Coturnix japonica: one gene and its partner. The protein of the gene in region 1 purifies or fractionates together with the protein of each later gene. This does not show direct contact. Links are inferred from orthologs where the notes say so. Each region holds a gene or a part of one and is shown on either strand. Other genes may lie near its edges.

Region 1 (3,815 bases):
CTTCCAGCACCTGTACAAACAATATCTGGCACAGGAAATTCCTAGTGGCTGGCGTAGTGCTTTAAGCAGTGCCCAAATCCAGTTTCCCAGAACAAGCACAGCCACATGTGGTAAAAAAGATCCTACTGAAAATTTCAGGAACCTGAACCACCTGCGGATGTCTGAGATTTTAGTCTGGGTACTGGTCTTATCCTAATAACATTTTCTGTTCATGAAGACACTTCTAGGGATAATAGTGATTTTTAATCTGAAAAATTGAATTATTTTTTAACAACTTAAGCAAGGATGGGAATGTGGCTCTCTGTGCTCATTTGTAATTTTAAAGTCTGCAGGAAGAAAAGAAAACCCAATCTTTGATTGGGTCACTAGCTGAGCTGAATGATTGCTTCTTCATTTCCCCTTATGTGTAAAATAACAGGGAGCGTGTGATGCCACTTTTTATACTACAGATTTCCTGTTAAGTACTAGAAGCTCTGTTTAAGCCAGCAAGAAACACTACATTTCTTTCATAGTTTGTAGCCAAAGTGGAGGAAACCTATAGATCTGTTCTCTGTGCACCTGGTTATCTTCTATAGGATATCTGTCGATGGATATTGGACGTCAGAACTCTGTGGTGTTTTATGTTTGTTTTCTTTCTACTTGTATAAAGAGCCTGAGCCTGAGTTATCTCCATGTATAAAGCAATCGAAAAGCTGAGTTATGGCAGGTTTTAAGTGTCAGGTCACACCAGTCCAAGTCATTTTAGCGTTTATAACGTCTAGATGTAGATATCAGAGTTTGGACAAAGATTGTACTACTTAATTAAAATTAAATATTGGTTATTGAGTGTAGTTTAGTGAATTTATATTTTCAGATATTTTAGAACTTCTGTGTGATAGCATTCTCATTTATGCAGATATCACAGAATTTTAATTTAATGTCTACAGTTTTATGCACACTCCCATATTCACTGACATCTAAGTCTGTGATTGTCTGCAATAAAAATGAAACAGAAATTACTTCTTTTTGAGCAGAGGCCACCCAAAGCCATCATAAATATTGTATCTCTACCTGAGAGTGTTATTTTCCAAGGACACAGTAAAGGGATGTGCTAAGAAGAACCATACAAAGATTTTATGAAGATTCAGAGGCCCAGCTTTGTTTCCTTAAGGAAAGCTTGATTTCTAGCAGTGAGCAAAGGATGAAGGAGGTTGTCAATATACATCCAAACCAATCTGAGTCCACAGTATACATGTATTGGTGACTCAAGTTTGTCGCCTGAGTCCAGGACAGGTAAAGTCATGTTTTCAATTGCTTTGGCCATCCAGACTAGCTAAAATACAGCTCACATCATCTAATATTCCCAGCATGTTTTCCTGTTGGACATATCCACACTGTAGTGCAAATGAGAACATTTGCTGACTTGTGAAGGTGAGAGCATGATTTCTATCCATTATCTCCATAAAGTGGTTGCAGCAGAGCTCCTTCATTCAATCCATGGCTCTTTGAAAGGAGGCAATGGCCTAGTTTTAATCGGTCCCTTATTTTAAAAGATGCAGAAATTTTGGTTTAGAACTTCACACATTAATTATATCACCACTGATTTCTTTTCTTTGTCCTTTACAGGCACTGAAAATTCAGAGGCAAATGAAGAGTATCAGAACAGCAGCCAAGAAAGCTGGGTGCAGCGAATGCTGATGGCTTTGGTGGGTGATAGTGCCCTTTTCAATACCAGGGAAGGGCGTGCTGGGAAAGTGCACAACTTCATGCTGGGATTGAACCTCAACAGCTGTTACCCACTGTCTCCTCTGGCAGACCTTATGACTCAGGAATCTGTGGAGGAAGACGAACTAGATGCAGCTGTGGCAGGTTAGTTTGCAGAAAGCCTGTGTTACTGCATATTCATTGGTTAAACTGTGATTTCCTCAGTGTGGTAACATTTACTCAAACTGCAAGGCTTACAGCTGCCCTTGAACAAAGGTGGGACAACATTTCTCTATAAGCAGTCATGAGTACCGACCAGTGCTGAAGGTTGTCAGATGACAGGGTGTCACAAACAGCACTGCGCAACGATTTCTGCCTGTCACCTACTTCCTGAATCCCCTGACAAGCTCTATAGCACAACTGCTGGCATTTCAGCTCTTTGTTTTCAAGGAGATGCTGACCGAGTTGATCAAGCTGCTTTTGTGTACGGCACCCTTCATTAAGGCTGCTTCTCACTCATTTGGGCTGCTCTAAGGAATGGTCTATGTTCTTTTCACCGGTTAAGCCTTTAGATAGAAGTAAGACCTTATCTTTCTACAGTGCTTTTCTGTGGCTTCTCTGACACCTTTGTCTTCCTCTGACAATCCTGTGGAGGCAGTGCACTTCTTATTTGTACATCCTTGCTTTCCTGACTCCACATTCCTCCCAGTGTGACTGATTTGTCATACCTGTCTGCATTTCAAAGAACAACAGAGATTGGAAGGGACCCCAAGAGATCACTGAGTCCAAGTCGCTTGCTAAAGTAGTCACCCTACAATAGGTGGTACAGGTCAGCATCCAGAGTGGGCTTGAATATCTTCATAGAAGGACTCCACAACCTCTCTGAGCAGCCTGTTTCAGTGCTTTGTCACTGCAAAGAAGTTTGTCTGCATGTTAGTACAGAACTTTCAAGTTCAAGGCTTAGGCCATTATTCCTTGCCCTGTTACTACACACCACTGAGAAGAGCCTGGCCTCATCCATTTGTCTCCCACCTCCCTTTAGATATTTATTAACATTCATCTGATCCACCCCCAATCTTCTTTTCCCCATGCTAAACAGACAGTGGTCTCTCAGAATTTCCTCACACAGGAGATGCTCCAGGCCCTTCATCGTCTTTGTGGCCCTCCACTGGACTCCTTCTAGGAGATCCCTGTATATTTTGAACATGGCGCCCAGAACTGAATGCAGTAGTCTAAATATGGCATCGTCAGGACAGAGCAGACTGGGAGGATCACCTCCCTCAAGCTGCTGGTCACACACTTTTTAATACACTGCAGGATATCATTGGCTTACTTGGCCAGCAGGGCACACTACTGGCTCATTGGCCAACCTTTTGTCTACCAGAGCACCCAGGCCCTTCTCCACAGAGCTCCTTTCCAGCAGATTGGCACCCAACCTGTACTGATGTATGTGGTTATTCCTCCCCTGGTGCAAGACTCTACACTTGCTCTTGTTAAACCTCATGAGTGTCCTCCCTGCCCAGTTTCATCTTTTCGTAAGCAGGAAGCAAGCATGCTGGTGGAAAACAAGAATGTAAGAAAAAATTGATTTGCAGAAGTTGTGTAGCATCTTTCCCCACTCCCCTGCATGAAATACGTGGTGCATAGGACGGTAGGTGCAGAGAATTAGGTATCACATTTGATTAGCATTTTGAAGACTTCCTATAGGCAGTGTTAATTACACTCTAAACAGTGAAAGCCTCTGAATTTCTGAGTATTCTTTAGTCTCTGGTGCACTTTTTTTCTTCCTTAGTAGACAACAGAGCATTGCATTATAAATGTGGTTTTCTCTATAGAAAAGTTAAGTCACAGTCAAGATACAGTGCAGAGTTTTTGTGGTACAAACTACACAGCACTGTCAAACGACCCACATTATAACAGTCACTTCAGCCCATTTTCTATCTAGAGGAAATAGATTGTCCCAGTCCGTCATTAAGCAATAGTAAATACCAGATATCGTTTAAAAGCTTAAGGAGCAGGCACTGCCTAAATGTGTATTTGTTAATGTAACAAATCCCTTTGAGTGGTTGCATAGTAATTTCCATCTGTGCTCCGCTTTCTAAATATTTTTACCATCTCAGAGGTGTTTACAA
Region 2 (4,538 bases), on another chromosome or scaffold:
ATGGGACTTTCGGTTGCTGATTTAATGGGGATGATGGGCGATGGGCAGCCCCACAGTGATGGGTTGGGATGGGAACCCCACAGCAATGGGACTCGGTTGCTGATTATGGGGATATGGGGACTCAGGACTGACTAATTGGGATATGGGGTTGGGAACCCCACAGCACAGGGGGTTTGGGGATGAGAACCCCATGGACATGGGGACTCAGGGCTGATTATGGGGGATATGGGGATAGGAACCCCACAGCGAAGGGGGTTTGGGGATAGGAACCCCACAGCAATGGGACTCAGTGCTGATTATGGGGATATGGGGATGGGAACCCCACAGCGATGGGGATCTGTGCCTGGGATTCCCATGGCGATGGGGACCCGGTGCTGACGGGGATGCAGGGATGGGAACCCCCCAGTGATGACCCACCCCAAGGCAGAGGCCACAGCAGGGTCATACAAAACACTTTATTGGGGCGGCGGGGCCGTCTCTCACTTCCTCCCCTTCTGCTTCATGTGCACCACGAAGTAGTCGTTGCAGGCGATGGTCAGTCCAGCCACCAGTGAGAAGAAGCTCTGGAATCCCACTTTGCCATCCCGGCACTGGTCCAGGTCCTTCATGATCTTATCCAGAGCCATGGGGTCACGCTGGTTCTGGGGGCAGAAGCGGGTCAGCACCTCATAGTGTGGTAGGTGCTGTGACCCCACTGTGCCCCATTCCCCTCCTCCAGGTTATAGAACCCTGGGGTAGGTGTGACCCTGCTCTGTTCCCCACCGCCTCAAGGTATCCAGCTCTTATAGGGCTGTGGGGTAAGTGTGACCCCACTGTCCAACCTCTCACCTCCAGGAATCCGGGGAACTCCTTCTCCATCAGGGCACGCAGGTCCTCCTTGCTCAGGTAGTTCTTGTCACCCGCATATTTGTGGAAGGTGAACATCAGCGTCTCCATGGCGTGCTCCATTTGGGATGGCATGGTGGCTGCTGTGGGGTCTGTGGGGTCAGCAGGGTCCTGTGAGGGTCTCAGTGGGGTCTGTGGGGTCAGAAGGATACAGTGGGGTCTAAGGTGTGGGATCAGCAGAGTTGGAAGGGTCCAGTTGGGTCTCACTGGGGTCTGCGTGGTTTAGTAGAGTCTAAAGGGGCTGGAAGGGATCAGGAGGGTCTGCAGGTCTGCATGGGGAGAAGCAGGGTCAGAAGGGATTTGTGGGGTTCCATGGAGCTTCAGAGGGTCTCTGTGGGGCGTGTCAGGCATCGTGGGGTGTGTGGGGCTCCATAGGGTGTGTGGGGCTCCACAGGGGTGTGTGGGGCTCCATAGGGTGTGTGGGGCTCCACAGGGGTGTGTGGGGCTCTATAGGGTATGTGGGGCTCCATAGGGTGTGTGGGGCTCCATAGGGGTGTGTGGGGCTCCATAGGGGTGTGTGGGGCTCTATAGGGTGTGTGGGGCTCCATAGGGGTGTGTGGGGCTCCATAGGGGTGTATGAGGCTCCATAGGGGTGTATGAGGCTCCATAGGGCGTGTGGGGCTCCATAAGGGTGTATGGGGCTCTATAGGGTGTGTGGGGCTCCGTAGGGCTCTATAGGGGTATATGGGGCTCTATAGGGTGTGTGGGGCTCCATAGGGGAGTGTGGGGCTCTATAGGGAGTGTGGGGCTCCACAGGGGTGTGTGGGGCTCCACAGGATGTGTGGGGCTCCATAGGGGCGTGTGGGGCTCCATAGGGGAGTGTGGGGCTCCATAGGGGAGTGTGGGGCTCCACAGGGGTGTGTGGGGCTCCATAGGGTGTGTGGGGCTCCATAGGGGCGTGTGGGGCTCCATAGGGTGTGTGGGGCTCCATAGGGTGTGTGGGGCTCCGTGCCCTCCGTCCCATCGTGGTGACTCAGCTCCGGGCAACGGCCGCGAGGCGGGGCCGGGTGTGATGTGCTGCGGTGTCCCTCCTCTGAACCCCCCCCTCCAACACACACACCCCGCCCCGGTCTTCCCTATGGGACACCCTCGGGACCCCCCCGCCCTGGGCACACTGAGTCACGGCGCCTCCTCCCAGGGTGGGGCCCCTCCTGGATTCCCTACAATCGTGGATGGGGGGGGCACATCCCAAAGCTGCTCCCCCCCCCCCCCACTCCATTGCAGGAATGGAGACTCCACCCTGGGGGTGAGGCGTTGGGGTGTCCCTCCGGCTCAGCTTTAATGCTTTGGGGAGGGGGGGGACACACAGTTTGGTTTTGGGGACCACTCCTCTATACCTGCAAAGGGGGAAGAGGAAAGGGGGAAAAGGAAGGAGGGGGGGGTCCCACCCCAAGTGGAAAATAATGGCAGAGTCCCAACCTTTGCATTAAACTCTCCCCTGTTCCAACAGCCCCCAAATAAATAAGTAAATAAATAGAAATAAAGCTGCAGCATCTCAAGGGGGGGTGGGGGTGGATCCTAAAGTTTATGGGGTGATGGGATAGTGTATGGGAGGGGGGGGGGAAAGCAAATCTTATGGGGTGATGTGCGGGTGGAAAGCCCTCAAAGTTTATGGAGTGAAGGGGGAGGGAATGAGGGGGACCCCGAGCTTTGTGGGGTGATATGGGGTGAGGGGAAGAGCCGGGACCTCCTAAGAGGGGGGGGTGCAGGATGGGACCCCCCCCCTCCAGATGGAGGTTATGATGGAGCAGGGTTACTGCTATGGAGGGGGTGGGACGGGGGTATCCTCTATGAATAGGGCTTCTCTCTAAGGGTGTAGGGAGGTCCTCTATATAAAGGGTCCTCACCCCATTGCGGGTCAATGCCTGGAGGAGCTGGGTTCCAAGGGACCCAAATGAGGCGGGGGTCCTATGGAGAGGTCCTATGGAGGGGGGGGGTCGGTACTCACCGCACGGCGCAGACCGGGGCACTGCGGGGCGGTGGCACCGCCCGGGATAGGCACGGAGGGGGCGGGACCGCCCCGGGGGGGGGACCCGGGGGGGGCCTGGGGCTGACTCAGTCGCTCCCGCCCGCAGCGCTCAGCCTTAACCCCTTCCTGCCCGGCCACTATCAGCCCCCCCCGGCCACTATGTGTCACCTGAACGCGTGTCCCACCTGGTGGCTCCTGGGGAGGGGAGCACCGCTGGGGAGGGGGCGCCTGGGGACGAGGCCGCCTTTGGGTACAGGCCCGTCCATCCCTAAGATCAGGGCCGTTCTTAGGGACCTGGCTCAGGGATGTGGCCCTAACCCCGGGCACGGGGCTGCACTTGGGGACAGGGCCACCAAGGAGCTGTGGGCACTGAGAGCTGTGAGAAACAGCTTTGGGGACAGGAACGTACTGAGGGACCGACGTGGGTTTCTTTTGGGGACACGGCCATTACTTGTAGGGACAGGGCTGCGCTTGGAGTCACGGCTGTGTATGGGGACATGGAGGACAGGAGCACATCTGGGGCCATGATCACCTATAGGGCCAGCATCACCTATAGGGACAGGATCACCTATAGGGCCAGCATCACCCATAGGGACAGGATCACCTGCAGGGCCAGGATCACACTTGTAAGGACAGGATCACCTGTAGGGCCAGGATCACCTGCAGGGACAGGATCACATCTGTAGGACCAGAATCACCTATAGGGCCAACATCACCTGTAGGGCCAGGATCACCTGTAGGGCCAGGATCACATCTGTAGGGCCAGGATCCCCTCTAGGGACAGGATCACCTGCAGGGCCAGGATCGCATCTGTAGGGCCAACATCACCTGTAGGGCCAGGATCCCCTCTAGGGCCAGGATCATATCTGTAGGACCAGGATCACCTATAGGGCCAACATCATCTGTAGGGCCAGGATCCCCTCTAGGGCCAGGATCACCTGCAGGGCCAGGATCATATCTGTAGGGCCAGGATCCCATCTGCAGGGCCAGGATCCCATCTGCAGGGCCAGGATCACACCTGTAAGGACAGGATCCCCTCTAGGGCCAGGATCACATCTATAGGGCCAGGATCACATCTGTAGGGCCAGGATCACACCTGTAAGGCCAGGATCACCTGCAGGGACAGAGCCATGCAGGGGGACAGGGCTGCACATGGGGCGATGGCTCTCATTGGGGCAGGGGCCAGTGACCCCCTGAGAGCAGCCCCGATGCCTTTGGGGCTGAATTCACCCCCATGATACTGCAGGTGCCCTCCATCACCTCTATCTGCACCCAGTATCTGGCAGCACCCAGCAGGCGCTGTGCCACCACCTGCCCACGCAGACACGGCTCAATTAGCGCAGCTCATTACTGAAGGGCTGCTCTAATCCCCCCCCCAATAAAAAACGCCCTGAAGTGAAATGGGACCTGAAATGAAATGGGACCTTTATGGGGCTCTCCCGGTTCTCAGCCCCCTCCCCCCCAGGACCACCCTTACCCCAAATGACCCCCACTCCCCACATCCCAACCGCACACCCCAAAGGCCGCCCCAAAAGCTGACCCTCTCCCCCCCATTACCCCCGCCATCCCCTTCCATCTCCTCGCTGCCCCCTCTCTGTTCCCCTGTCCCCACTCAAGATGGCGGCGCCTCCTCACACCCCCTCCCGCCCTCACCCAACATGGCGGCAGCTCGCCATGCTCTGAA

What was found.
Region 2: the proteins of PLA2G4A (region 1) and S100A10 purify together in Homo sapiens (affinity purification with western blotting; 3 studies listed by BioGRID). This does not show direct contact. The link is inferred for Coturnix japonica from reciprocal best matches to the Homo sapiens genes PLA2G4A and S100A10.

What each region holds. Positions count from the first base shown.
Region 1 is NC_029523.1:8,858,073-8,861,887, reverse strand, and holds part of PLA2G4A (cytosolic phospholipase A2), read left to right. Parts: intron 1-1,605; coding exon 1,606-1,848; intron 1,849-3,815. UniProt on the Homo sapiens protein: Has primarily calcium-dependent phospholipase and lysophospholipase activities, with a major role in membrane lipid remodeling and biosynthesis of lipid mediators of the inflammatory response.
Region 2 is NC_029540.1:2,466,915-2,471,452, forward strand, and holds S100A10 (protein S100-A10), read right to left. Parts: upstream 2,958-4,538; 5' UTR 2,834-2,957; intron 1,018-2,833; 5' UTR 961-1,017; coding exon 829-960; intron 642-828; coding exon 480-641; 3' UTR 442-479; downstream 1-441. UniProt on the Homo sapiens protein: Because S100A10 induces the dimerization of ANXA2/p36, it may function as a regulator of protein phosphorylation in that the ANXA2 monomer is the preferred target (in vitro) of tyrosine-specific kinase.